4 linked regions of the Alligator mississippiensis genome follow. The protein of the gene in region 3 purifies or fractionates together with the protein of the main gene of each other region. This does not show direct contact. Links are inferred from orthologs where the notes say so. Each region holds a gene or a part of one and is shown on either strand. Other genes may lie near its edges.

Region 1 (7,162 bases), about 94 Mb from region 3:
TGAACCAGGATATTGATAGAAGCATCCCTTTAAATTCAGGCTGCAGACACACAGATCCTAGTCCCAATTCAGGTTGAATGGTTTAATCAGAATCCTAGAAAATTAGGGTTAGAAGGGACCTCACAAGGTCATCTAGTTCAACCCCCTGCTCAAAGCAAGACCATTCCCAACTAGATCAACCCAGCCAAAGCTTTATCTAGCTTGGTTTTGAAAACCTCCAAGGATGGAATTACCACCACTTCTCTGGCTAACCTGTTCCAGTGTTTTACTACCCTCCTAGCGAGAAAATTCTTCCTAATATCTAACCTAGACTTCCCTTGCTGCAACTTGAGATTGTTGTTCCTTTGCTAGACTCTCTCCAATTTGTCCACATCCTTTCTGTAGTGGAGACCCAAAACTGAACACAGCACTTCAGATGTGGCCTTACCAGTGCTGAACAGAGGGAAATAATCACTTCTCTTGACCTACTGACAACACATTTACCAAGAGTCCAGTAAGCCGTTAGCCTTTTTGGCAACAAGGGCACACTGTTAGCTCATATTCAGCTTACTGTCTTCTGTAACCCCCAGGTCCTTTTCTGCAGAGCTGCTGCCCAGCCAGTCAGCCCCCAGCCTGTACTAGTACATGGGATTGTTCCATCCTAAGTGCAGGACTTTGCACTTGCCCATGTTGAACATCATGAGATTTCTTTTGGCCCAATCTTCCAATTTGCTTAAATCACTCTGAATCCTAGCCCTACCCTTCAGCATATTATTACTCCCCCCATCTCGATGTCATCTGCAGATTTGTGGTGGGTGCACTCTTTGTCATCTTCCAGGTTGTTTACGAAGATGTTGAACAAAACCAGCCCTAGGACCAATCCCTGGGGTGCTCCACTTGATACCAGCTGCCAGCTAGACATCGAGCCATTGATTACTACTGTCTGAGCCCAATGCTCCAGCCAATTTTCTATCCACCTTACAGTCAATTTATCCAGCCCATACTTCCTTACCTTGCTTGCAAGAATGCTGCGGGAAACCGTATCTAAAGCCTTGCTAAACCCAGGCACTGGTAATGTTTTTGGGCAGAGTGCCAAAAACACCTTTAACCTTAACTTGGAAGATGTTGGCATGCCAGGGGTAAGTGGAGGGGGAGCCATAAGGGGCCCACAATCCTTGTTATGGCAGCACAGCCCTGCTCCCTTCCCCACTGTCCATGCCAAGGCACACAAGCCAAGCAAAATGCCTTTATGTGCCATGCTCTGGCACCTGTGCCAGGAGTTGCCTACCCCTGGTTTAGCCCTTCACAGGTTCTGGTCACCTTGGACAATACTTATTAAATCAAGTCTAATTTAACTGCTTCCTACTGTACTTTGCATTACTCTTCCACTCTGCCAACACCAAGTAACTTGAAAATAAGTGCAGTAAATGAGAAAAAAAAGTGCTGGAAGTAAGGCAAAACTGTTAACAAGGTTATCTGACATAACTCCATACTAAAGGAAAACTGACAACTAGGAGTCTAGATTCATTTTGTCTGCATTCATCACTACCTTACAACCCGTTATCTTTTCTTGTGCTTAGAGGATTGTTAAAGTCTTATCACACATAGATGAGCAAAGTACGTTTGGCCAATTGTAGAACTGGAGATGAAACTAAAAGGAGATCAAAGTCAATTCAGGTATGAATAATTGTAAGAAATTCTTTCACTGTATCCCCTCAGGACCCCTTCCCATCATGTGAAGATCATGCCTCAAATGAGCAAAAGGGATATTAAAAACAGGACAGGTGAATGTGGAAACATTTAATACTGGGTTATGATATTTTGATCATTCCCCAGTCTTACAAATAAATCTGTTCATTTCATGTTAACAGCTTAGAAAAAATATTGTGCAGTGCTGACTTATGATAATACAAAATGGACAAGGAGGATGAAAGATAACACATTTCAAATTATTTAGATAATCTACATGACCCAAAAAATAATGGCTTACACAAAACGAGATAGAGAATAAGAAATGTGCACCCACAAACTATGGAGTAAAAGATTCAATTAAAAAGCTTGCTGTCTGAGTGTTTCCAGGACTACGTATATAAGCTTACTTTGCCAAGCTCATGACTGAACTCTGGGAACCAAGAAAAAAAAACCAAAAACGTGCTTGCATTTCTCTGTTTAGGTAACCCTAAATCTAAGGGCTCTATTTCTTCTTATTGTCTGACAACAGATATCAAAGTTCATATAAGTGATGGTCATTATTTCATAATGCTGCTGTTAGAAAGTAAAACAAAATTAGTATCTCAGTACATGTCCTAATATTCTAGGAAATATGGGAATAAACAGGTAAATGTTGAACAAAATTATATAAGAGAAATCTTTAAACTGAAGACTTTTCTTACCACAAAAGCCTGTAGTGCATTATTTGACAACTCCTTTTCCTGATCAGAAATTCCAGAAGTAGTAGTGGCTCCTTCATGTTTCTCAGTTCCCTGATCTGTAAAATTAAAAGGGTTAGAGAAAATAGATAGCTTTCATCATATGTGCAATTAAATTTAATAAAAATAATTCAGTATCTTTATTACATATTTCATTCCTCCCTCCCTCAAAATCCATTTGTTAATACTTAGGGCACCTTTACACATAACTACAACACTATCTTTGCTAAATTCAATTTGGAGAGTACAACAACTTTGGAGTTTGAGTTGCTCCCCCCAAAATATCTGGAGAATTTTTTTACATTGTAAAAAGTACATTTTGTTTACTTACATTTTGATACCAGTAGCTGGTAAAAACTATTGTAGGAATCTCTCTCATTCCGCATAGCTACCTAATTTAATCTGTATGCTACTACTTGTCCCCCAGTTGCTAAGTTCCCTTAATGTTAAGAAATGTAGCAAATGTACATGCTAAAGATGACTAAAAATAGAAGCAAAACGCTCCACTGCTATGCACTGAATATACAATCAGAACCCCAAAAAGAATGTAAAATTCATCTCACAGAACTATTCTCAAATAGGTTTTCCTATTCAGGAAATATATTTCAGATTTTGCATTATTAACTTAGAAGGGGTTAACTTTTAAACTGAAAATGGATGAAAACAAATATTCATTGGTTGGTATCTCTTAAGTGTTAAATCGTTTGGAATAGGTTGTCTGTTACAGATCTTCAGTAGCTAACATTTAGCATGAATGTACATCATTTGCTGGGACGATAGAAGGTATCGCATGGGTAGGAAGATAGACACTATTTAAGGTTACATATTTAATATTTTTTGTTCACCAATGTATATGCACGTTAATTGACTGGGGTGTGCCAGTGCTCCTGCTGGAACCTGCCAGAGGTTCCTGGCTAGAGGGCCTTGTCCGTTCACCGAGGGTCAGACCAATTTGCCAGAATTGGGGTCAGGAAGGAATTTTACCCCATGGTCACACTGTTACAAACTATGGGGGTTGTTGCCTTCCTCTGTAGCAAGGGGCATGACCCTGACCCTCTATCTGGCATCTCTTGAGCATATGTTGATAACATTTCACAGAAGCAGGACACTGACTGCAATGGCTTCCCTGCTTTACTTGTGGCAATTTACGGTGTTAGGTCTATATTATTTCAGGGCTGACTTGCGTAGAGTTTAGATTATGGTTTGTATGGGACAGTTTGGATAAGGATAACCAACCTGCCTCAGGCAGGGGGTTGGATTAGATGACCTCTGGAGGTCCCTTCCAGGCTTACTTCTCTATGATTCTACAACATAGAAGGACACATTTCAATAACATCATCTTATTTCTAACTTAAAATTTGAGCCCACAATTCAAAAACTAGAAACTCACCAGAGCTGAGGCCAACTGTGAAAGTCACAACAGAGAAAACTCTTCAGATAAAAAACAAAGTTTATGATAAGATCACCTTAAGTACCAGCCACAATTCTGAAGATTACACAGGAAAGAGACTAGTTAAATACCTGGGGGATCTTGGAATTCTACTCAATGTAATATTTTTTAGATTTACCTTTCATGAGTGGTGCTCAAGTTTTGGCCCCACAGGCGGGATGAGCAGTGTGGGGCTGGATTAGACCCTGGGACATGGTGCCACCCTCTTCTGCTAGGATCAGGCCTTAAGGCTGTCCCTTCCAGGCCCCCATGTACCAGGACTGGGCCCTAGGGTTCCACATCCCTGCCAGCCTCCCTGGGGCCCTGTGCCACCTTTTCCCAGCCCTGTGTGTTGGGATCAGGTGCCCAATACAGCACGCAGGACTAGGGCTCTCCATGGGTCTGGAAATTTGGCAGGGAGTGGTGCCACAGATCCCTCACTGCCAAATTTCCAGAAACACAGGAAGCAGTGTGGACCAAATGACATGACACTGCTGGTTGGATCTGGTTGAGCACCCCTGCATTAGACCTAAAACCCTGCATCTGCCAAAGCCCTTAGCTAGTCCTACCATCCATTCAACAAATGAGTCAAGGAAGCTTGAAAGAGTTTCTACAGTTTCTTTCCAACCACCACACATGCTCACAGTACAGAAATTAGACAGAATCATAGAGTTGGAAGGGATCTCAAGTTTCATCTAGTCCAGGCTTGTCCAACATACGGCCCGCTATGCGGCCCTCCAAGCCGTTTTCTGAGGCCCGAGGTGCTGTGACAGGAAACAAAAGTAAACAGTGTACTTTTGTTGGGGGGGGGGGGGGGGGGGCGCACAGGGGGGAGGTGATGTGATACCGCTTCCTGCAAGATCTTTGAATCTGGCTCGCCTGCCCACTGGGTGATAAAACGTTCACAATCCGGCCCCACATTCAAAAAGGTTGGACACCGCTGATCTAGTCCAATCCCCCTGTGAAGCTATAGGATGCAGTATTACTAAACCTTCCAATACAGATACCCATCCAGCTTCTTCTTGAAAACCTCCAATGAAGGATAGTCTACATCTTTCTCAGGTGGCTTGCTTCATTTTCTATAGTTCTTAGAGTTAGGAAGTTTTTTTACTGGAGATTTAATTTCAATTTTCTTTACTGCAATTTAAACCCACTGCTTTGCATTCTGTCATCTGTGGTAAAAGAGTACAGGTGTTCTCATTTATGGTCACCTTTCAAATATTTGAAACCCGCCATCATGTCCCCTTAATCTCTTTTCCCCAAATTAGGCATGCCCACTTCATTCTCTCAACATTGCATGACAAGATTGTCAAGTAAAAGCCAGAAAGTTAGTATTCTATAAATCAAAGAAGAACAAGGCTGGAAGGTGATTTAATCCAACTGCCTGCTCAAATTATCTCAGAAGCTAAACCAGAAAAACAAAATAACCTGCATTTAAGAACCTCCAGTGATGGATATTCCACAACTTCTCAAAGTAATCTGTTGCTGTACTTATCCAACCACATAGTTAGACAGTTCCTCCTAACGTCCAACCTAAAGCCTCCCATGTTGCAACTTCAGCCCATCATTTTTGGCTTTTTCCCTTGTGGACACAGTGAATAGTTGGTTGTCCTTTTTGTATTCTAAAACTTCTTATTTGTACTAATGGCAAAATAATTCTCTAGGAAGTAGTTAACAAGAACAACTTAGAAGATTAGGTTTAGGAGAACGTGTTTTTTAAATATATATACCCTTAAAGAGCAGGCAGCCCTGGCAGTGACTAGACTATTTGTGGAACATCCTAGTAATCCTCTGAAGTCTTAGGATATAACACCTCTTTATTGGGCTTGATTGAAGAAATCAAGAAATTATTCAACTCATTTCAGCAGCCTTACAGCTTGCATTGTTGGGAAGACCCAGATACCGCTAAACTCTGCTCACTACAATATCTAAATTAGAAAAGTCAACGTCAACTGTCCTCCACTGAATCATTCCATAACCTCGATCCATTTCTCCTACTTATTTCAGCTCATTTCTGGAAGCAGTACTTTTTTTAAACACACAACAAACTAAAGTATCTGCAGAAGACCAACCTGAGCTCCAGACAGCTTTGATATCAAAGCAAAAACTTCTTAGATGTAACCTCATGCAACAGAAACCTTTCCCCTGATATTACATTAGAGATTGGATTCCCTGAAGACTCACCTAGCCTAAACAGGCCACAGACTCGCCTGCTCATTTGCCATCCACTCAGGTTAAGAGATGCATCAGAATCTATTTCCTCCACAGCTAACAGCTACAACTTCAATGCGAAAGGTATCCATTTGCCACCCCAACCTTTCTTTTTAACCCTATTTTTACATCCCTTCCAATTGGAAATTATTTTTTATCAGTACTGAGCAGGATAATTTCTTATCCAAAATAAATTTGCATCCATTGCCACACCTCTTCTCTGCTCTGCCAGACAAAGCCACCATTGGCCAGCAAAATAATGTAACATATCTGGTTCAAAGCTTGGACCACCCACTGACCTGGTCCAACCACTGGAGCTCGTTCTTTAAGCAAATGAAGCCGAACTCTCCAAAACTTCTTAGTTATTATAATCCTCCATTTCCAACAAACAGACCAAGTTATTTTGTGCACCCAGCAGGGAAAATGTGTCCTTTACAAGATCATTAAATCTTGTCATAATTTGTCCCATGCTGCCAGAGTTCCCCAAGCAGACAAAGAGGTACAGAAAGAAAGCCACCATTCCTTCAGATGGTTCACCTATAGGTAACAGCCAGTATGCAGTGGCGACAAGCAGCAAGTCAAGAGAGACACTCAAGATGTTGAGGATTCGAGCTCAATGGGTGACTATCAGGTAAGACTTCTCTTTGAGCCAACTGGTTACAGTAATAACCACATCTTTCTTAGTATCTTAAGTACTGGGCATTGATTTTCCCCCTCATGAAGAGTTTAATATCTAAAAAGCTACTTCACCACATGCAAACACAGTTATCATCCCATGCAATGAAGGTTCATCCATGCCACACGCATTTCTGCAATGTCTGAACTGAAAGAGACTGTGCCAATCATTTTCACAAAGAATAAGCAATCTGACATAGTGATTATAGCATCGCTTCTAGTAACACAGTAACTACGGCTAAACTGGTTCCTAAGATAAACCCTTGTTTCACTGAATTTCTCTATGGTCAAGTTGGCCTCACAAGTTTCTAACCAGAAGTAAAATGTTTTAGCCTCAACCCTGTGAGAATAAAGAAATAAAGTTGGTTTTAAGTCAATCATCCATGAAAAGTAGATGGAGGATTTTAACAACTAAGAAGCTTTGGAGATTCTAGCTTCA
Region 2 (7,368 bases), on a different chromosome or scaffold from region 3:
GAATAGTGACACATTCATTCTGTGTTAAGAGCTGGGAGACTAATCCTCTTAGCACCTCCAGTAATGAGGCTTACAAACACCGCAGAGTTTGGTTTGAATGACTGAGCGGCAAGCCCTTTAGCTGAGCTCAAATGTGCAGCCCAATTGTGCCAGACCTGCTGGAAGTTTCAGTTCAAGCTGAATTTTTGAAGTGTAAGCCTGGGCCAGAGATCTCCAGAGAATACTAAATACATTCTCCAGGCAATTAAGTTCATGGTGTCCACTACCTTGGTTAATTAGAAGCAAATTGGTCTCCATGAGCTTTACAGCCTCCCATCGTATTTAACCGGTCCCTGAAACACTCAATTAAAAGTCTCGAGGAAATGTTATTTCTTACATTCCCAAACTGCTGCTTTCCAGACTACCAGACATTTTTTCTACTCTCTACCTAAAATTCAGGGAGGACTTCAATTGTTAGATGCAAATACTCCACACAAATATTCAGATGAGCATCTAGGATCTTCCCAGACTGATTGCTGTTGCACCTTTAGTATGCAAGAGTTGGGACATCCATTACCACACCCAGGACTGATCACTTCTGGAGCGTTAAAGGCCTCATGACGCTTTTTGCAGTAATAAAGGTGTTCCCCCGGTTTTTGGGCCAAGCCACAACTCTGAGAGTTACACAAATTCATTTAGACAATTAGGAACCACAAGAAAAAAAGAAATTAAGGGGAAAATAAAAAAGGCAGCTCTTTCTAAACATCCAAGTTAAAAATACTGACCACTTAGAGAAAGGCACACCGCCAGGCAATATTGTGTCCTAGCTATTTTTGGTGAGATAATTAACACAAGAACCCCAGAACGATCTCTCTAGTTAATAACCTGGGTCTGCTTGCTTGGTGCTTTCACACCCCCTACTTTTACTTCAAGCTTCCCTTTGCTAGCTGTTTTCATCTCTACTCCCCCTACACCTCCCCCAGTACTGAGCTATGCTATTTTCAGTTTTCAAAGCGAAATGCTGGCACTACATAAAAGGCCAGGACTGTCTTACTGCAGCTTTCTAAAGGCAATGCTCTTTCAACCTAAAATAAGACTGTCCCGCTTTAGTCCCACTGGACTAAGCCAGGGCCTTCCTCGAGGAGAGCAGGATGTGTTGCAGCCACTAGCTCCCTCCAGAGATGGGTGTAATTAGGCTCCATTTATGCCTCTGTACCCTTGAAAGTATTAAAATATCAAGGTGTAGCTACCCGTGTCGGTCTAAAGTCAAGTAGAAGGGTAAATTTGCACCACACAGACTAACCAAAGCAGATATATAGGCATACTATATACAGTATACAATATACGTACAGTATTAGAGTACCTTCAGCGCAGCTCTTCAAGAGGACACAATTCTGTCAGGTGCTGTGACCAGAGCACACGTCCACTACAAATATTTAAAATCAACTACTGCAATATCCTGCTCTCCTCGTAGCAGCCAGAGGCGGGTTTTTGGCTTGTTTTTTTTTAATCAATGCTGCTTTAAAGTGATTTTGCATCAGAGGGAAGACTAGAAAACAGAATAAGAAGCTCCACCAGCCCCTCGTATATGATGAAAAGCACGGTAGGGATTGCAGCCAATGGTTCTGAGCACTAAACTCCAAACTTCTGTTTTGTCCTCTACCAAACATCACTTTTGAGCCTAAATATTTAGCTCAGCAACTGACTGACACCCACAGCAGCAAATCCCATCTGAATGTGATATTCTAACACATATGGAAGATGTGAAAGTTGCTATAATTGACACTGTGCTTGCTAACAGTACTGCAAAAGACAGGGCAAGGTGGGGAGGTCTCACCCTTTTAAATGCTTGGGAAATGCCAGCTCTTATTTCTCACTATTTATGACTAGAGAGAGAGAGCAGAGCGGTTCTGTGGCTGCAAAGAAAGCCCGCGGCAGGTCCGTCAGAGTAGCTGTAAGCCTACGAATTCCTCTTTGAAATCTCCAGGTTCATCTCGAGAATCAGGATCACGCACCAAACAGCGCTAATGCTGCGTGGCCCGAAAGGATCTCCAGGAGCTGCGGCACCTGGCTCCGAATCGCTGCTTTAGAGACAAACTGATCCAAAAAGGCAGCGGGTCTCGTACGCAGCGACCGATCAACGCCTTTGAGGAAGCAGCATCGGACGCAACAGGGCATCGTCTCTGCAACCGCCTGCCGCTCACCTCTAAATACAGACCGGGGGGGTGGGGGGGGGCACGGCTTCCACCCAGCATCTCCCGAGCACGTTAACAACCCGTTAAAGGAGCAGGAGGTCAGCAGCCGCGGTCCCACGGCTCTGCCCGGAGCAGGGCTGGCCGCGAGGCCTGGCACTGCAACGAGTTTCACACACACTTTCGGTGACGCTTTGTCTGGGCTGGTTTGCACAGGGCTGGTCCTGCTTCAGGCAGGGAGGTGGACTCAACCACCCCCCCAAAACTATGGGAATGGCCCCCCAAACACCATGGCCAGCCCCCCCTCCCCCCAAAACACCATGGCCAGCCCCCCCTCCCCTCAAAACTAAGGGACAGCCCCCAAACACCATGGCCAGCCCCCCCCAAAACTACAGGACTGCCCCCCAAACACCACAGACAGCTCCCCTCCCCCCCAAAACTACAGAACCGCCCCCCCAAACACCACAGACAGACCCCCCTCCCCCCAAAACTATGGGACCGCCCCCCCAAACACCACGGGCAGCCCCCCCTCCCCCCAAAACTACAGGTCCACCCCCCCAAACACCACAGACAGACCCCCTCCCCCCAAAACACCATGGACCACCCCCCCACAGTGCTGCTAGGTCCTCCCGCCAATACTACGGCCAGCCCCCACAAAAAATACCATGGCCCGCCCGCCCGCCCGGTACTAGGACAGCGAGGTCCCCCGCGGGGCAGGGCGGCGCGGGCTCACCGCGGCCGTGGCCAGGCTGTGCATGGCGGCGCCGCCGGGGCTCGGGCCGCGCTCAGGAGGCCGCCATGGCGCCGCGCTGCCCTCCCCCCGCGGCGCCCTCTGACCCCTCCCCATGCGCATGCGCGGGGCTGGCGGGCGGCGGCAGCGCGCGTGAGCGCGCGTGGGGCATGCTGGGGGCGGCGCGGTGACGTCGGCACGCCGTGCGTGCGGCCTCACGCTGTCGCCTGGTTCCCGCCATTTGCCTTCAGCCCTCCCCCCGCCCCCTCAGGAGCCGCCGCCGCGCGCAGGTACGGAGCGGGGTGTCTCCCGGGGGGGAGCTGCCCCCCCGGTGTGGGGAGTCCCCCCCCCCAGACCTGCGGGGAGGAGCAGCAAACACGGGGCCGCGGCGGTGCGTTCGGGGACGGACACGCAGGCCCTGCCTGTTGCGTGCCTCAGTGCTCCCGCCTCTAAAATGGGCCTCATCCGCCCTGACTGCCACTCCGATCCCCTTCCCCTGCCCACTTCACTGCTCTGCTCCCTGCCCGGTCTGCCGCTCCGCTTTCTGCTCCCTCACCGCCGCCCGGCCGCGGCCCTCGTACCCCGGCCCCGCCCCGCCGGCCACCACGCTTGCTAGGGGACAGTGCGCCCCCCAACCCCCTCCCCTTTAATGCTGGAGGGCGTGCAACCCCCCTCCCCTTTAATACAAGAGGGTCCTTCCCCCTTTAATGCTGGAGGGGGTGCACCCCTCCCCTTTAATGCGGGAGGGTGCAGCCCCCCTCCCCTTTAATACAAGAGCATCCTTTCCCCTTTAATGCGGGAGGGTGCGTGCCCCCCTCCCTCCCCTTTAACACCGGCTAAACAATGGTGTCTTGTTCCCGGGCAGCCGCGGCGGACGGCGTTCGGGACCGGGCACGTTGCGAGGGCGTCGAGGCGAGTCGGTCGCTACCGATGAGCAAGAGCGAAAGGGTCCCCCTCGTTTATAAAACGTTTCTGGAGCCCGGCGGCTCCGTTAAACCGATCGGCCGTCCTGGCGTCACGGCACCGTCGGCGTGCTCGGGTTTTAACGCAGAATAGCATCGTACGGGTTGCGTTTGGGGTTACGTGTGGGTTCCCTTGGGAAGCGGTTCCCTTTTTTCTCCGTGGTTTCATAGTTGTTAGGGTCGGACGGGACCCCAGTACACCATCGAGTCCGAGCCCGCGCCCTGGGCAGGAGCGAGCGCGGGGCCGGGTCAGTCCGGGTCATCCCTCTGTGAGGTCACGGACTGTCGGCACAATGACGTCGTTCTTCACGTTCTGTTCCTCGCCTGCGTCACTGGGGATCCCGCGGTGCTGGGTGTCATCCCGATCGCAGCGCGGGTTAGCCGGTAGAGGAGATCGGGGTCACGATAATACGAGTAGATGACGGCGTGACTTTTGTCTTTTAAAGAGGTTAGGTGCTCCCTAAAAAATGCTTCTTGTGTAAATTCACCAGGACTTTGCAGAAGTTGCAGGTATAGATTTCCTTGAAAACTTTCTTTTGACGTATTTGGTCTCAGCCAAAATCGGGCTTGTTTGGAAAATCTGTAGGGTTTTCACGGAGGTTTTTCAAGGTTATTTTTTTTTGGTGTCTATTCAACACCCTTTGGTGCAGCTTATCTTCAGAGGGTAAAATAATTAATGCTCTGAAAATTGGGGTTTTTTTGGTCCAGCAGGCATCTGGAGGTAATAACATGAAATCGGTTTGTTGCTGTACCTCCCAGAAATGTTTTTTACACTTTCCACAGCTATTTTTATTTGCCAATTGTACGTCTCTCTTGGACAGGTTTCAAGGTGGAGCCAACGCAATCTCTTGTAAGTTTAATAGCAAGACAACATGGCTCCGCTGAAGGTACACGGCCCCGTCCGGATGCGTAGTATGCAGACTGGGATTACAAAATGGAAAGAAGGAAGCTTTGAAATAGTGGAGAAGGACAACAAAGTGAGTCTAGTGGTTCACTACAATGTTGGAGGAATTCCAAAGACATTTCAGGTACACCAACTATCGAGGCTTTTTGTCTGAGTTGTGCATAGATTGTGCCCTTTTGTGACCAGCTGTCCTCTCTGAGACTATTAAGTGTCACACAGACTTCCCTCTGAGACTGTTTCTTGTTCCTCGTTTCCAGCACACTAATCCTTTTGTCTAACCCTGCTGTAAATTATTCAGGTGTTCTGGTAGGTGAACTGCCACACCAGGCAGGGAGCGCACCATTAATTGGGAAGAAATGAGACCTAGAAACCACGAAAAGAAGACAGAGCTGTGTAGCACCTGGCCTCTCAGCTTGTTGGAAATCCAAACCCTTTCACCTGATACACTTACACAATCGAGATGAAAGTCTACTGGGACCTCGGGGCCTTTTCTACTCTGGTGCTTTTCCCAGTTGAAATGCTGAAAAATTCCAGTGTGGATCTACTGGTAGTCTTTCTGCTTACTGATGTGAGGCTCATCTTCAAAGTGTTGGCCTGACTAAGTTTTAAATGCTTCAAGCAGTGTGACTTGCACCATCTCTCTCTGGAGATTTGAGAGTGCTTGCTGTCGAGAAATCTCTTCCAATAGTCAACCTTATTTTTCCTCCTTTCATTTGCCTTTTGTTTCTCTTAATTTATTATTTTTAATGCAGTGGTGCCCTACGTACATTTTGTCCAGCTTACGTGAGGAGATTGTAAGCTCTTTAGAACCCGTACTGTCTAAAAATCCCAAACAGACAAAGAATTGAAGGAAAGAGCATTAAAAGCTCTTGGGAATTGCTGTAATGGACTGGACCCATGTAAGATAAAGTGTAATTCTGCGTGGTTCTTCCCTTAAGTATTACTGTGTACTTGGTAAGGTCCTTCTGACCTCATGAGTCTTGGGCAGTGGTGGTACCTAGAAGGGACTGGGAGGATTTACTGGTTCAGGAAGTACCTGTTGCATCTGTTTTCCTAGATGCGCAGCAAGCTACTGCACTGCTGGCAGAGATTTTTAGCTTAATTGATGGGAAGATTAAATTTCTTGTTGTAGAAATCATAGAGGGCAGAAGTAGGACTGGAAGGGGCCTTCCCAGGTCATCTAGTCCAACCCACTTCCTGAGGCAGGATCATCCCTATCCCAACCATCCTGTACAAGTCATGATCTAAACTCTTTGTAAAACTATTGTCACCCCTGACATAACACCAGGCGTCACACCCAAACCTGCCATGGGTGAAGCAAGGGGACTATGACAGCTAGCAGCCTGCTTCTATAAAGGTTATTAATATATGCTCAAGAGATCCCAGAAAGAAGACCATATCCCCCTGCTACAGAGGAAGGTTCACCCCAGATATGATGTTGGTCTGACTCTGAGAGGGGGAGAGAGACAGGAAGCGGGAACGTCAGGCTTGAAGTCCTAGCAAGTGCACTGGCACAGCCCAATCCCCATCTCCAGCCTGGGTTGCAGCCAACACCCAGTGCCACGAAGGGAGGCTTAAAAACCCACTGACACATGCAGCAGAAAGTTTGGGAGGGGGGGAGCAACCAGCAAAGCCCCGCAGCCCGGAGCACCCCCACAGCAGAGCACGGGCATCGCTGCACCTAGATCCTTCCCACCCAGTGCACATCCAGCCTTTCCTTGAACCCTCCAGTAATCCTCTCCTTCCCAGCGTAGTGGTGAGATCCTGAGATCCAATCTAAACTGACTTTGCTGCAACTTCAAGCCATGGGTCTGCACCCTCCTCTCTACAACAAGAGAAAAAAGAAGCTTTCCCTCTTTATGGCAGTCCTTCGATTATTTGAAGGCTGCTGTCATGTCTCCTTTTCCACAAACTGAACATGCCCAGCTCTAGCCTCTCCTCATGTGACTTGCTTTCTAAGCCTTTTATCAGCCTTGTTACCTGCTTGCTGTCTAGACTCTGTCCTGTGCTGTCAATGTGTTCTGTGAACGTTTTGATATAAAAATGCAGATAAACAATGCTGAACGCCTTATCTATCGCAAGTGACAGAAAGCTGTTGCAGTGGTGATTTAAAATGTACGTGACTAAATTCTCAGCAGTCAGGTGACACATGCATTGCAATAGTGGTTCCTCTTACATGAGGCTTTGGCAGAAGTGTCAGCCCTTTTTCATCTTCCGTTTCAAATTCATCAGAGAATTAAGCAGTCAACTTCTAGAAGAAATGAAGAAAATCTTTCTAGATGCTGTAGAGTTGTTGGCTGTAGACGTGTTGGTCTAAAGGCATAGACAGACAAGGTTCTTTAGGTAAATGTGATAATCTTTTTTTAGACCAACTAAATAATTGGTTGTGAAGAATAATTTTTCCAACTATTTAGTGGTCTAATAAGATCACGTTTACCTAAAGAACCTTGTCTTTCCGGATTTTAGCAGCTTTTCATACTCCTTATGTTACACTGCTGCTTAAAGACTTGTTTGACTTAGGTGCTATACGGGAACACAATAGGAAATGCCATGAAGGCCTTACAATCTAGTTGAAATAAGGCATGGCAAACAAATGCAGAT
Region 3 (7,509 bases):
CTCAATGTTTTCCTGAAGAGTGGTTAGAGGGGGTGGAAAGTGAGAATTATTTTGGTAGAAGAGTTATCATTGGCTGACACTGGGTTACTTGCTGAATTTCTGTACATATTTTAGCTATTTTTATATGTGTATTTAAAGACACAATAGAGTTATTTTTTTGTAAAGTGTTTGGATTTAAAAAGTCTTTCTTCTTAATCAGCGGTCCAAGAGCAGCAAATTTAAACTTTTACAGGTTAAGACATCTATCCACTAAAATATAGAATACCACAAATACAAGAAGTTTAAAAAAAAAAATCACGCTATTCTGATTACTTTGTTTGTTCCTCTCCTATTTTAATTACAATATTTCATTCATTACTTGAGAAAGGGGTCAACATTAAAAAAAAAAGTGCTAAAACTGTCCAGGGGAATCTGCTGTGATTAGCGCTTTTGAGAAGTTGGGCCACTTATTTGAAAGCCCAACTTCAAACATTCTTTAAAAAAAAAATTCAGCTTCATCCCTTATATTCAAAAGCTGGACATTCAAGCTTTTCAGGGTGTAGCACTGGCTCCTACTAGGAGCAGTTTTATGGGAGAGAAAAAAAAAATTCCTGTTTTTTTAAATGGCACATAGCACTCCTCTTAAATAATGGTGAAGCATAAGATAATGAATCTTAACGCTACTAGCCTGTTAATCTAGCTGTACTTTTCTGGTATATATGGAATTGGACATAGTCCAAAAGGCCAGGCCAGTGAAGTTTTTGATTTCTGCCATTGTTTCCCTGTTCTTTCCAAACACTGACAATAAAGCAATTAATTAAAATCGTGAATGTGTACACACATTAAAATATACACTGTGAGAGTTATGAGAAAAATCATCAGGTGGAACGGTTTACCCTTCATCTAAATGGAAAACAAAGGCAACTGCAGCTTCCTCAAACTGTCTTGTCAGAGTTAATTCACTTCTGTGCTCAAGTGGCCACATTTAGATAATAAATGTCTATGTATAATGAGTCCTTAACTCTCTGTTAAATTTTTCAGTTTGTGGTTAAATTTTTCAGTAATGCAGACACTTGACTATTTAGAACTGTATTGAGGCCATCATCTCATTTCATGAAATTCAAATAAGCATCGGACCTTACAGTTACTATCAAGCCAGACCAGCTTCAAGCCTAATATCTATTGCATGCTGTTTTATATTAACCTGGATTTGGTATGAGGCTGGCAAAAAGAAAAAGACAGACAACTTGCTTCCCCATGAATTACAACACTGCTCAAAAGGTTTGACAGACAGAGACTAGAGTTGTATGTGCAACAAGAGTGTTCTGGTAGCAGCAGTACAACTTCCCTCAAAATAACATGCCAACATGTCTACTGGGAAGAGACCTTTTCTAGGACAGCAAAAATAAGCAAGGGCAACTTCAAGGAAAGAGAGGAGAGTCTAACCTCAATCCACCCAGCTCCAAAAAATGGCAACTATGTGTACAGTTTGCATTAATGTTCAAATTAGCTATTGCTAATTACTAAGCTGATTTAACTGATGAATGAGAAATACCGCCAACCCTTCAGCATGGCAGACTTTATGTATTTCAATTATCTATTAATAAAAAAGTAGCCGCACACAGGCTTCAGAGTCATCACCAGGAAGACAGCCTAACATAAAAAGGTGTTACTGCCTGAAAAAAAAAAAAGGCCAACAGGGCAGCCTCCTTCGTTACTGCATCCCCATGTAAAACAAAGGGGGGGGAACCCCAAGACTCCACGTTTTACAGTGGTTAAGTTTTACACATTTTACAGCGTTTTACAGTGGTACCACTGCTAGAGTTCGGTTCAAGCAGAAATTTCAACGCGGACCCCTTTGTGCACTGGGATTGCCCAGCCCTTCTCAGCTCCGGGAAAATCATGGAAGCTGCCTTCTACCTGCGGGAAGTAAGCGTGCTCGACAGCGCCAGGGCCCCATATCAGTTACTGATAAATACAGCCGTGGGTGTATCTGCACGTTCTCTCTTTCAAACCGCAGCTGGGGAGAAGGAAGCGGCAAGGAGAAAACGAAATACACGGCCAGTTTGGAGGAAGCTGTCCCACTTCTCCTTCCAGGCTTTGGCAGGCCGCAGCACTCCGCGGGCCAGCGAGGCGATGGGCCCTGCCCGCAGCGCACCGCGGGGTGCCGGCTCCACATCGCACGGCCCCCGGGGCCCCGGCCCTACAGCTTTGGGGTCTGTGTCGCGCTATTGTTCGTGCGGCTCCCCCAGAGCCAAGGGCGGCCCCGGGGTTGAGAGACCGGTCCGAGAGCGGCAGCGCGGCGCTACGCACCCCTCTTTGTGCGCCATCTGCAGGGCCCAGCCCGGGCGGGGAGGACGGGGGCGGACAAAGCTGTTCCCCGTCCGCTGGCGGCGGCAGGAGGCGCCCCCTGTCCGCCCCCCGACACGGGAAGACACAAGCGGCCCCCCACCCGCGCGGCCAAGGGCACCGGGCCGCGCCCTCCCCCTCCCCGCCGGGGGAACCTTGAAATCGAGGCCGGCCGAAGCCTGCGGCCTAGAGAGGCGAGCAGGGGCACGGCCCTCACGCCCGCCGCAGCCCCCTGGGGCCGCCGCTCGGGGAGGGGCCCGTCGCCCCGCGCACACGCCGGCCGGGCCCGGCCAGGACCAGGCCGCCTCCGCCCCTTTGTTCCCCGCCCAGCCCCGCAGACCCCGCGGCCACACTCACCGCACGGGCCGGGCCGGGCTCCCCGCAGCAGCAGCAGCGGCGGCGGCTCCGCTCAGCCCCGGGGCACGGAGGCGGCCGCAGCGCCCACCGCCTCCAGCAGCAGGGGCCGCCGGGCCACCGCCTCCTGCCTCCGCCCCGCTGCCTCTGCAGCAGGGGCCATCTTGTGCGCCTGCCGCCTCTGTCTGCCGCCTCCTCTCTCCGCCTGCCCTCTCCCTTCCCTTCGCGTCTTCCTCCCCCGCCTCCTCGGCCTCCTTCTGCCGAGGCAGGAGGGGGTAGGGCGAGGGAGGAAAAAAGCCGAGTCACTGGCTCGGCTCGAAGCCCTGCCCCGCTGTCCCGGGGGGAAGGGGACTCGCCCCTCTCTCCGGGGCCTTCCTCCAGCACCCACCCGTGCCTGCCCTGCCCCCTCTTCGGGAAGAAGGAGTCATCCCAGCCGCACACCCTGCAGCCGGTGCTCTCTGCCGCCCCCCACCCCCCGGGCCACCCCTGCTCCCCCCCCGGGTGCCGGAGCCCTCTCTCACAAGGGGAGCAGTTAATGTATCCTCCCCCCCCCCTTGCTGACTGCCCCTCACCACCAAAGCTCAGGCTTTCGTAGGCAGGGGAAGCGGCTCCCCCTCCCCTCAAAGGGTCACCCGTGCTTGTGTGCAGAGAGGATGGAAAGATGAATGCCTCCCCCTCCCCCTCCCCCTCCCCCTCCTTTGCACTCCAGGGCAACCTCGGCGCGACAGAAGGCTTCAGCTGTTAGGGCTGGTGCACATGCCAGGTGTCCCTACCCGAGGGAAGCCTAGTCCTTCCTTTCCTCAGCAGATGGGCTAAGCTGCGACACACCTTCCTGCATAAAGGCAGGAGAGTTGAAAGGTCTCCCTCCTACAAAGGGGTCCTTTGTCAGAGAATAGCTGGCCCCACAGACCGCTTCTACTCGGAGAAACTTCAAGCATTAATGAAGCCTCCCTTAATTATTTAATGTGTGTAGGGTGCTCTGAAGCTTCAAAGTGGTTGGAGAGCTAAATATTAACACCTCTGTGAGAGAGGTAAATAGTATCCCCATTTTACAAATGCGGTGAAGGGAGACACAGCAAGGTTAAGCAACTTGTCCGAGGTCGTGCAGGGATTGGTGGCAATAGAAAACAGCAGCCCCTCTTACCAAGACTTGTTTTTTAAATAAAATCATTTTTAAAACAGTTGATTGTAACTGTCTATACAACCAGTGTCCAATGCCCACACTGACGTACTGATTTCACAGTGGGGCTCCATGCAGAGACAGTTGCAGGACTAGAACCATTTTAACAACTATGTCCCTTCAGAAAGTTCATTGACTCGCACTGTTTTTTAAGAATGGGTTTAAAAATAAAACCACATTTGCATCCTCCCTCTTCTATAGGTAAATCTTGTGTAGCTATCTGCCAATAAACTATATTTTTTAGTTCCCCAATTGAAAGGCCCTAAGGCTTTACCCCTTTTAGTGAAGAAATAATGCAGACATTCGTGTTGTGTATTGATTCATCATCAGTTATAACACTGCAATGAACCTACCAAATTATTACTTGGCATTGTTTTAAATCCCAGTTTGAGATACAGTGGACTCCACACCCCCTCCAGTGTGTAGGAAAGAGCAGAATAAACTGCAGGTGATGAAGAGTTGGCACAGCAGTCTGGGAGCTGGCTGCAAATGGTGGCCTGAAAGCTGGTTTATGATGCTATGGTTGCAGGGGTAGGATATCAGCAAAAAGTACACAGAACTATAGTTTTTAGGCAAAAAGCTAGTGAAGAGGGGTTACACTGGACTCTTACTTCTATATCCCTGTATTGGGCTGTTGAACTGTTTTGATTCTTGTTTCAATTTTGGACAAAGGCAGCTATAATAGCTGCCATTTTTTGATGGAAGGCAGAACAGGGTAGCACCTCGAGACTAAGAGAACAAGTTAGTCTCTGAGGTGCCACCTTGCCCTGCCTTCTGACTGACTTCAAACTAACACAGCTAACTACCTCTATCTACTTAAGCACTTTTTAGTTCTAGGAATTTTAGTAAAGGAATCCCATCCCTCATTTAAAGTATGCAATTGTTTTTAGGTACCTATCAAAGACTAGAGCCTGAACAGCCTGGAATTTGGAACATCTACAGCACTTACCTCCAAGCTTGTGGTATACTCATCATACTGAGAGAAATCCAGGGTTTGATGAATCACAGCACTTACAGTGAGAGCTGGCTTCATTGCTCATAGTAGTCATGAATTGAAAAGTTTAACACTTAAGTGATATGCAACCAAAACAGCTTACCAAAAACAAAGAATAACTAGCTTTGGCATCATCTTTGGAACCTACCTCAAGTGGGATCTTCCTACGATATTTGCTATTCTTCGCTTCAGAATCTTAGATACCATTATCAAATACAATATTTATACAGTTACAGTATATGTGTGTGTATGGCGGATGCAATTCAGTGTAGATAACTGTAAAGTTATGTACATGGGCAAAAATAACCCAAACTATACCTACACTATGATGGGCTCTACATTAGCTGTTACTACAAAGGAAAAAGTTCTGGAGTCATTGTGGACAGTTCACTAAAAACATAATCTCAGTGCTCAACAGCCATTACAAAGGCAAACAAAATGCCTTTGAATTAAGAATGGAACTGTAAACAAAATAGTAAGTATTGTTATACCCCTCTATAAATCAGTGGTGCATCTGCACCTTCAGTACTGTGCCCAGTTTTGGTCCCCACACCTCAGAAAAGGATTTAGAAGAACTAGAGAAGGTACAGAGAAGAGCAACAAGATTGATTAGTGGTATGGAGAGGCATTCATATGAGGAAGGAGACTAAAGAGTCTAGGCCTATTCAGATTAGAAAACAGACACCTATAAGGGGACATTAGAAGGGTTTACAAAATATTAAATGGTGAAGAGAAAGTAAATAAAGATTTATTATTTACCAACTCTCTCTATACTAGAACCATAAAATGAAACTAGTAGGTAGTAAGTTTAAAACTAACAAAAGGAAGTTATTTTTCACATGGCATGTAATTCAAGCATGGAACTAGCTGCTACCAGATACTGTGGAAGCTGACAGTTTAAACAAATTCAACAAGGGATGGGGCAATTCTTGGAGGAAAGGGGCATCAATAGCTGTTGAAAGAGGCATCAGTAGGGAATACAGCCTCTGAATTAAAACTTCCCTAACTCCCATAAATGCTGGAGGCTGAAAGTGAGAGAGGAACAATGGAAAAAACCCTGGTCATACCCAGTTCACTCTCCCTTTCAGCATTCACTCTCTGCCCCTGTGTGACACAGGCCTATTTGTTCCTTTAGAGCAGGCTTGTCCAACATATGGCCCGCGGCCCAACATGCAGCCCGCCAAGACGTTTTCTGTGGCCCGCAATGCTGCAATGAGAAATGAAGGTAAACACAGTTTACTTTTGTTCCCACCCCTTGTTCCTCCCCCAGCCCCTCAGCAGCTTCCTAATGGCTGCTGAAGGGCTTGGGAAGGGACAAGGTTCCCACACACACCGCGTCAGCTTGACGCTCCCGACACGGCGCATGTGGGAAGAGGAGTAGCCATGTGCCTCTGGGGACTGAAAGAGCCCGGCTGGAGCAGCAGGGGCTCAGGTGCACTTTCCCCCTGCCTGCGCCGGTCAGTCCGAAGTGGCACACAGCTCTGCCGCCGCCTCTGCTGGCTGGTGCCGACCCGGACGGGTTCGTTCCATCTGGAGCAGCATGCAGCTGAAGCCAGCTTCCCATGTGCCGCTGGGGTAGGGAGAAGCCCGGTTGTTCGGCACCAGCAAGCAGAAGTGGCAGCGGAGCCATGTGCCGCTCGGGACTCACCAGCGCAGGCAGGGGGAAAATGCAGCTCAGCCCCTGCTGCTCTGGCCGGACTCGTCCTGTCCCGAGCAGCACACGGCTCCGCCGCCACTTCTGCTGGCTGGTGCAGACCCGGCTGGGCTCCTCCCGTCCCCAGTAGCTCATGGCAAGCAGGCTTCAGCTGCATGCTTCTCCAGATGGAAGGGACCCAGCCGGGTAAGCACCGGCCAGGAAAAGTGGCATGCAGCTGAAGCTGGCTTCCCATGTGCTGCTGGGGATGGGAAGAGCCCAGCCAGGTCTGCACCTGCCAGCAGATTAGTATAATGTGACAAGCCTATGGCTGGGGAGGGGTCAGGCTCCCTAGATCTGAGACCTGATGTAGGCTATGGCACAGAGACTTACTTTGGAACAACGTGCTAATACACTTGTGTCTGTACCTGCCACGAACCCAAGTAGCAGGTGATTGATACCTGGTAAGCTCATGTGAGTAAAGACTGCTTATTGCTTTCTGTGTGCCCTTCAAAATGTTTTTATCCTACTAAAATATGCCATACTTTGTGAGAGTCATTGCCTCTGTATGAGAAAGCAGAATCATATCCACTGAACTAAATTCATGCCTCGTGGAAATAATCACAATTCAGCAAAATGGGCAGGAAGGGAAAGCCAGAGTTCTAAGTGTGCACCCTAAAAGAGGCCATGAGAGAGTCAGAAGCACAACCTTAGAACCAGGACAGCTATCCGGTGACAGCAGTCCAGGAGGCATGATGAGAATCCTCTACTCTCATGAGATTTAGGAAAGCAAGAGGACATGAGAACAACATGTAGGCAGAGACAGTGTAGGGCCTTGGAGCTATGTTAATAAGTGAGGACACCTATGTTCCCACTCTGGTCAGTGACTAATTGTGGGTACATCTTCACTAGCTTCAAGCCACTCAAACCTGCTGCCAAAAAATAAGCCCCTCCTACCCACTTACACTTTACCTGCTCTGAACTGGAAATGAGGCAGTAAGGGCCCTTCTAGGGTGATCC
Region 4 (7,790 bases), on a different chromosome or scaffold from region 3:
AACAGACCCGGCTTCCTCAAACAGGTTTTTTAAAATAGAAAAATGTCTGCCCTTCGTATAGCGGAAGCGTGTCCCTGCCACTTAAAAGCCACAGTAAAGGGTTCGGCTTTGCCTCAGTGCAAGGCAGCAAGCCAGAAAGCCACCACGAGAAGGGAACCTTACTCCATTGACTCTAGCGCACAGACACACAGTGCATCTCTGGGCTTTTTACAAAAGTAAGAATCAAGCAAAGCGCTGTAGCGATATCAAGGAAGGAGGATACATCTAGAAAAAAAATAATCACCATGGTGGAGACTGCAACAACCCTGCTCTAGACTGTTGGAGCCTGCAAATTTTAAAACATTCCCAAGAAACTACAGCTGCAGAGAGGAACTATCCACCTCTGCACCAGGCCTATTTCTGAAGATGTAGCATGGATCCTATGAACAAAAGGCCAACTTTTCCTCACTCCGATCCCCTCCACGGCCTGCCATGTGCCTAGGGAGAAGGACTGCCACAGAGGTCAGTGCACAAACATCAGTGACAGACACCTCCGGGTTGGAATCAGCCAATGAGAACCAAAGCCCACAGGCTCGCTATGTTTGGGAAAGAAGAAGGTCCTATACTCCCCTATTAAAAAAGAATTAAGGTAATGCTTCTTAAGCTGAAGGATGCTTAAGGCAAGTGGTTCCCCACCCTGATTACTATGCAAAACTCCTGCAGAGGCCCCCGTGATGGACAGGGTGTTCTCCACTTCACTGCCAAATGATGCACTCGAGAAGTTCCACCTTCGTAATTGCTCCTCAAAATGTATTTTCTGGCCCAGCCCATGCCCCGGCTCTGCTTCCCAGCCTCTGGCTAAACCCTACATCTACCTCCCAGATGCATCTTAGCAAGCCATTCGGAGGCTTCTCCCTTGGAACATTCCCTGGCTCCATTTCAGAACAGAGCCGACAGCAACAGGCACGGCTCCCACCTACGCTTCTCAAGGTGAGGTGCTTAGCTCCGAGAAGGTGACAACACTGCTGCGGGAATCCTTTCCACTGGCCTTCCCATCCCTGTCTGCCCGCCCACTCCAAAAAAAGCAGAATGACAAGAACACCCAGGGAAAACACTGTCTTGACCCCGGCCCGTGGCCCCAGCCGGCCAAATCAAGGGATTACATCAGAATATCCCGCTTTTGTTTCTTTGAAGGTAGGCGGCTCGTCCTCGTGGCTGCGCAGAGGAGATGGCAAACGCAACCGGAGAACAAACGATGCCGGGCTATCTGCAAAGAGCCAGAGCGCCATGAAGGATCCCTCTCCTGCCAGCTAGCCCAGCCCACTCCGAGTGGGAGTGGGACCAGAGCCCCCTTCACCCACCCATGTCCCGGCGTGTCCGGAGCCTCGACCCGAGCGCTGGTCACGCTTCTCGGGAGCGAGGCGGCTCCAACACCCTCGCCACCGTGAAAGTACCCGAGGCCCGATTCACCGGGGTAAAGCCAGCAGAATGCAAACACGAGTCAGGCCCCAGGTCTCGCACGTGCCCATGGCGAAAACTCCTGCTCGAAACAAAGATATTCCTTTGGTTTTAAAAAATAAAAATAGAGGTCACTCAGTAGAGAAGGGCCTCCCATGCCGAGCACTCAAGCGCTCCCGTCGCAAGCAGCGCCGAAACCTGGCGAGACCGACAGGAGTGCCAGGGCTCAGCTCGCCAAACGGGGGAGAAAAGGGTTTTTTTAATCAGGCGAACATCTACCACCACCACTTCCCCCCCTACACGTTGCTATTAGTAATAATGCTAATTAACAGTAGCGTTAATTCAACGCTTCGACCTAAATCAGCGTAGGCTGCTGGAACTGGCCGAGGAGATAAGGAGGCAGCGAGCCTCCTCGGGAGTCGGGCTGGGATTTCTTTAACGAAGCGACACCCAGAGCGCGCGGCCCCGAGTCCCCCGAGCTCGGGGAGCCGGAGAGATTGCAATAGATTCGGTTTGGGTTGCCCGAAGCCCGTGGGTCAGCACTTCCAATTTTCAAGCGTTTACAACTCGGCTGCATAAAAATATTCTCCGGAGCCCACGGTCTCGCTCTGGGACGGGTCGGACACGGCGCCTCCGACCGCCCGGGTCGGACACGCGGGCGAAGAGAGCCGAGCGAACGCGCTCGCAACTCCGCGTTTTTCTTTTTTTGGGGGGGAAAGGAAAGCCCGACGTATTGCGGAGCGCGGTCCCCGCCCGCACCCACGCGCGCGGGGCCCGGCCGCGGCGCCGACGGCATGCCCACCTCCGGAGGACTGCGCAGCGCTCGCTAGCTTGCAGGTTTGCGGCCCTTTGACATCTATCTCCGAGATGTACCAGGTCCTGTACAGCCTCGCGGGCCAACCTGCGAACACAAACGTCAGGAGACACGCGGCCGGAGGAAGGGGCGCGGGGCTGGGCTGGGCGGGGGGCAGCGGCCCGGCCTGAGGCGCGAGGCCAGACCCACGGGGCTGTGTTTGGGGCAGCGTGTGTGTGTGTGTGTGTGTGGGGGGGGGGTGGTTGGGGGGATTTGGGGGGTTTGTGGGGTGGGACGCCGCCCCCGGTGCGGGGCGGGGCGGGGCGGTGCGGGGCAGGCGCCGGGTTGGGCGGGCGGGCGGGAGCAGGCCCCGCTAGGCCCGGCCGGGCCGGCTCCCAACATGGCGGACAGGAAGCGGCCCGCGAGCGCCGGGAAGCCTCCTCCGCCGCCGCCGCCGCCGCCGCCGCCTCCTCCTCCGCCTCCCTCCCCGGCGGGCGGGCGGGCAGCGGGCGCGGGGCGCGGGGCGGGGGGCGGCTGCCCCGGTACCTGGTCGCTTGGGCGTTGGGCCGGCGTGGTGCTTCTTGGGCCCGGCCTTGGCGTCGTGCGGCGGGTGCGGGTGCGGGTGGTGGTGGTGGTTGTAGTAGTAGTAGTGGTGCGGGTGCGGGTGCGGGTGCGCGGCGGGCGGCGCCTGCCCGGGCTGCTCCTCCATGGGCGCGGCGCGGCGCGGCGGTGCGGGGCGGGCGGGCGGGCGGTGCGGGCCCGGGCGGCGGCGCTCGGCTCGGCTCGGCTCGGCTCGGCCCGACTGACAGCGCCGCGCGGCAATCAGGAAGCGCCCCGCCCCGCGCCCCGGCCACGCCCCCCGCCCGCCGCGCGCCCCGCCCCCCGCGCACGTGGAGGCCCCGGCACGGCCCCCTCCCCCGCCCGCAGCCCCCGCCGCGTCGAGGAGCAGCTGGCCGGGGGGGCTCCTGCCTCAGGCGCGCACCGCCCTCTCCTCCAGTCCAAGACGAGCTCCCCCTTCTCCTCTCTAGGACCTTGTGACATCAACAAGCCTCGCACTAGCCCCGCTCCAGTCTACCACGAGCCCGGCCTCGGCTAGGCTAAGCGAGCCCCGCATCCAGTCTCAGGGCAGAGTCACCAGGAGCCCTGTCCTCGCACGGGTCTAAGATGAGCTTGTCTGAACGAGACCCCCCCTTGTCCAGTCTAAGATGACCCCCCTTGTCCAGCCGAAACGAGCTCCTCCCTGGCGAGTCGAAACGAGCTTTTCCTGTCTTTGCGCAGGGGAGCAGGGACTGGGGAGGTGGGTGCTGGTCCTATCTGCCCCCCGAGGAGGTGCCACCATAAGGAACTGCGGTTTAGGTACCAAGAGTGCAGGTTTAGGTGCTGATAATGGGCCTGAGCTGAGCGGAGCAAATGCCTCCCACCCACATCACTGTGCAGCCAGCCACTTACTCCGCTCCCCTAGCTGTTTGGGGGGTTGAAGGACACCTCTCCCTCCATCCATCCACGGAGAAGTCTTCCGCAACCCTGTCTGGCAGCTTCACCATCTGACATCCTGGAAATGCATATCACCAACTAATTCAGGTCGTGGTTTCTCTGCGGGATCACATGAGAGGAGGCGAGGGGTTGAACGTAGAGGATCCCAAGCCTGCTTCACTGTCCACATAACTGCACTGAAGTTGGTGAGGTTGAGGGGTGCCTGGTCCAGGCAGAATATAGCTTAAATGACTAAAAAATATCAAACTGAATGTGATTTAGCCAAGGGGTTACTCCGGTGGGAAAAGACTGCTTCCAGTCCTAGCAGTGCAGACTCCAGAGTCAAATCAAACTCCGCAGTTGTTCCACCAGAGGAGGAGGCTGGAGAAGCTAGAGCGCTCCGGCTGACTCTAGAGCTCCTCCAGCGGCGTGCGAAGGAAAGAAAGCCGGTTCAGTCAGACACAGCTCCACTGGAGACAGAGAATGCAGCACCAAAGCACTCAGGGAGCCTGCTACCTGCCTCTAACCACCAAAGCCACCATGCCTCTCTTCACTCTGATACAACGGAAAACTTGGGGTGGAAAAGTGGGAAATAAAGAGAAGCAATACCTTAGAATTACAATCATAGAAAATGAGGGTTGAAGGGAGCTCAGCAGGTCGCATCTAGTCCGAGCCCCTGCTCCAAGCAGGACTGGCCCCAAATACATCATCCCAGACAAGGCTTTGTCTACCCAGGTCTTAAAAACCTCCAAAGATGGAGACACCACCACCTCTCTGGGTGACCTGTTCCAGTGCTTCACCACTCTCCTAGTGAGAAAGTGTATCCTGATATCCAACCTCGACTCCCCTTGCTGCAACCTGAGCCCATTGCTCCTTGTCCTGCCGTCTGCCCCCACTGAGACCAGTCCAGCTCCAGCCTCTTTGCAGCCCCCCTGCAGGGAGGTGAAGGCTGCTAGTCAATCCCCCTCGGTCTTCTCTTTTCCAGACTAAATAAACCCAGTTCCCTCAGCCTCTCCTCACCAGTCCTGTCCCCCAGCCCCCAACCATGTTCATTGCCCTCTGCAACAATGCATTCATCACTCATTAATACCTATATGAATAAGGAAAAAATGAGCGTTGTCCGCACACACTGTGGTTTTGAATATGAAATGTATTTCGTTGGCATAAATTTTCATTCTGCAGCGAATCTGCATGCAGTCAATTCTCTGCTCCACGCTGTGAGTGTCTGATGTTTTTTCTGAAGTGGCTCTAAAGCGAGTGATTCCTCCTCTCCCCCCAGTCCTGGTTCTGTTCCACTGGAGAACATGAGGACCTCGCTCACCTATTAGACAGAGAAAGTAAATCAGTGCTTTATGCTGAAGAAAGTGAATTGGGATTTTGGGGGGGTAACATGGTACCACGATGCTGACTCCTTATGCTTACAAGAAACTTTCCAGAGTAAAGTGCATCTCAAAGCAGCAGATTATTTTAGACATTTTAGACAGGGAAGGTAGGAGGGAACTCTGAATGACTGAGATCGAAGTGACACAACGTGCAGAAGATCTGTACTTGGTTATGGGCCTATTCACCACTGTAGTACACAAAGCAGTCAGGCTGAATCTGGCACCAAGACTAGTTGGAGGCCCATTCATCTCGCAGGACAGCCCTGGTGTGCTTCCCCTCACAGCTGTGCCAACGAATGCCCATGCTGTTCCAACCTAGAGCTAGTGCTTGTCAGCTGTGCCAACTTGGGTCCAGGCTCTGATCAGAATTTACACTGCATTGTGTAATTGTACAGCGGGGTGAAGGCATCTCTTCCCGGGAGAAAAAAGCCTCCTGGTTTATACTTTGAATGGAAGTGCCTTGGGACAGGGCTTATGTTCGGTGCCCAGCACCACGGGCTTCTGGGACAGTGAACAAATCCATAAAGAAATAAAAATAACAACACAATTCCCCAAACATGGGAGTGCAAAAAGAGATATTTGACTCAATTAGCTTGAAATTACATTAGCCCAGCTTTAAATTGCAATAGTGACTGTAGATGAAGCAGAGTTTCTTTTACATATCAGACTTTTATAAATAGTCAAGTATATATAAATATACTTACACTATACTTAAATATACTTAAAGTATCTATCAATATACTTATAAATGAATGTAAATAGTCAAGTATATAAACAGAGAACATGCTTGTGTTTCTCTGCTTGAGGCTGTTTAAAATTCTATTTATAAATATTGAAACCTCCATTATCATTGTTTGAAGTTGCTGGGTTGTACCCTATACTGTTTGGCCTCTCCGAGGACCTAATCTGAAACGTGTTAGTATTACAGACGGAGCTAGTGACAGCATCTGCCGTTAAGATTCCCTACAACTTTTCATGGCTTTTCATGGCTTGGCTTTAGTGTTGCCAAACTTTAACTGTTCAGACTGACGTTGTTCTGGCCGGTGTCTGCCTCGTGCTACATTTGTAGAAAGTTTCATCAAAAATAGTTCTGCCACTTCTGAGAACAATGTTATGGGAAAAGACGTTTTGCCAGTGTTACAAAATGTTCATGCTGGCGTTGTTAATAAATTGTAGAAACACTCTGGAGCAGGGGATGTGAAACTCGATGCGTGTCTGTGTTGTGGGGCGGGGGAGCCTGTTGGGAAAGGGCTAAGGCGGTGCTTTTGCTGTGCAAATCCACCCAAATCCAGTTGATTTACAAGTCTCTGAAGATTACCATTGTGTATATTCAGTTTGTTAGAGTCCGGCCTAAATTTCTGAGCATTGCATGTTTGGAGCATGCTTCAGTTGGGGGCTGAAGGTGCTCATAGGACTTGCTCCTGCCTCTGCTGCTCCTGTCCATCCCGGCTTGTGGCGGTGCTGGAAAACAGCGCTGACAGCACGGAGAGCTTCCCCTTTTCAAACTCCTCCATGGTGTCCCATGGTCTTACCAATCTGGCAATTTACTCATGGGATCTAGCAGCTTTGGGGAGATCCTAGCAACAAACTGTTGTGTCAAGGCTCCTGTATCTGTTTGCTGGGTGTGATGACTGGGAACATTTTGACTGGAAGGTCTGCCTAGGAGTGTCAAGCAACTTTTTGAGGCATGCCTGGCAAATTCCATCTTTCAGGACTCGGCAGCACTACTGTCTAAGCCTCGTGGAGACAAAGGAGGTTTGACTTGAATGCAGAGGTGTGACAACCAGGGCAGAAGACAAGATGGGACTAGGCTGATGGGGCGAGATATGGAGGCAATAGAAAGAGAACAGGAGTGGGGCAGGGACAGTCTGGCGTTAGGGGAAAGAAGGGTGGCTCAGGGATCATAACCTAATAACAACCCTATCTTGACTAACTGCATTACATCCATGCTGTACTCTGAAGGAGGCTTGGCACCTGTGGGGGGAAAAGAAGTGCATGGCCCCATTATTAAAGACTTCCGCCTAGTGCATGTGGATAAGAGGGCTAGACTGAGGTTGCACAGGCACCCCTGACATTGGCACTTCCCAACTTCCGAGTGCTTGGCTTTGCAATTCAAATATACGCCATTTTTAATATTCATAATACAAAAGTGCCGCCAAATCCCAGGCCCTTTCATGCTGAGCAATGTACCAAAGACACAGCCTCTGCCCTGAAGATCTAGCAGGGTTAAAGTTTTACTTGCACAGAATGTAGTTGGAAATTTATGAATCAAACACAGCTGGTTTTTTTCCCCTTTTTTAAATATGTAGATGGTGGGACTTCTCCTACCAGAATTCGAACACCCACATTTACGTATTTTTCTTGTTAGATCGTTGAGGAGCTTGAACTACCAGGAGATCTGTGCCAGGTGGCCCACACAGATCGAGTGACTTGCAACACAATACAAGGAACAGTGGCAGCTTAATGTTTAGTGAAACCGATTTTGCAGCTGATAATTAACTTTAGGCCCTACACAAACTGTAAGGAGCAACAGTCCTTTCACATTTTATAGAAGTAACGTATAAAATGACCTCCCGTTGCTTAGGACACAAGCCTCGAAAGGAGAAGCTAACTTGATGTTTCACTGGTGACTTGGAAAAATTGTGTTTTATTTTTAATCCTCTAAATTGGCCTAAAGAAATAAACTTCAAAGGACTTTGGGGGGG

The links.
Region 1: the proteins of RC3H1 (region 3) and CNOT10 purify together in Homo sapiens (affinity purification with mass spectrometry, with the first as the bait; 3 studies listed by BioGRID). This does not show direct contact. The link is inferred for Alligator mississippiensis from reciprocal best matches to the Homo sapiens genes RC3H1 and CNOT10.
Region 2: the proteins of RC3H1 (region 3) and CNOT9 purify together in Homo sapiens (affinity purification with mass spectrometry, with the first as the bait; 4 studies listed by BioGRID). This does not show direct contact. The link is inferred for Alligator mississippiensis from reciprocal best matches to the Homo sapiens genes RC3H1 and CNOT9.
Region 4: the proteins of RC3H1 (region 3) and NUFIP2 purify together in Homo sapiens (affinity purification with mass spectrometry; 3 studies listed by BioGRID, with this or other methods). This does not show direct contact. The link is inferred for Alligator mississippiensis from reciprocal best matches to the Homo sapiens genes RC3H1 and NUFIP2.

The regions. Positions count from the first base shown.
Region 1 is NC_081828.1:142,098,259-142,105,420, forward strand, and holds the start of CNOT10 (CCR4-NOT transcription complex subunit 10), read right to left. Parts: upstream 3,003-7,162; 5' UTR 2,795-3,002; coding exon 2,740-2,794; intron 2,468-2,739; coding exon 2,373-2,467; intron 1-2,372. UniProt on the Homo sapiens protein: Component of the CCR4-NOT complex which is one of the major cellular mRNA deadenylases and is linked to various cellular processes including bulk mRNA degradation, miRNA-mediated repression, translational repression during translational initiation and general transcription regulation.
Region 2 is NC_081827.1:253,766,872-253,774,239, reverse strand, and holds the start of CNOT9 (CCR4-NOT transcription complex subunit 9), read right to left. Parts: upstream 3,015-7,368; 5' UTR 2,929-3,014; coding exon 2,905-2,928; intron 1-2,904. Other genes in the region: USP37 (ubiquitin carboxyl-terminal hydrolase 37), read left to right, coding at 4,736-4,891. UniProt on the Homo sapiens protein: Component of the CCR4-NOT complex which is one of the major cellular mRNA deadenylases and is linked to various cellular processes including bulk mRNA degradation, miRNA-mediated repression, translational repression during translational initiation and general transcription regulation.
Region 3 is NC_081828.1:48,049,090-48,056,598, forward strand, and holds the start of RC3H1 (roquin-1), read right to left. Parts: upstream 3,004-7,509; 5' UTR 2,686-3,003; intron 1-2,685. UniProt on the Homo sapiens protein: Post-transcriptional repressor of mRNAs containing a conserved stem loop motif, called constitutive decay element (CDE), which is often located in the 3'-UTR, as in HMGXB3, ICOS, IER3, NFKBID, NFKBIZ, PPP1R10, TNF, TNFRSF4 and in many more mRNAs.
Region 4 is NC_081837.1:1,384,056-1,391,845, forward strand, and holds the start of NUFIP2 (FMR1-interacting protein NUFIP2), read right to left. Parts: upstream 3,006-7,790; 5' UTR 2,940-3,005; coding exon 2,777-2,939; intron 2,339-2,776; coding exon 2,240-2,338; intron 1-2,239. UniProt on the Homo sapiens protein: Binds RNA.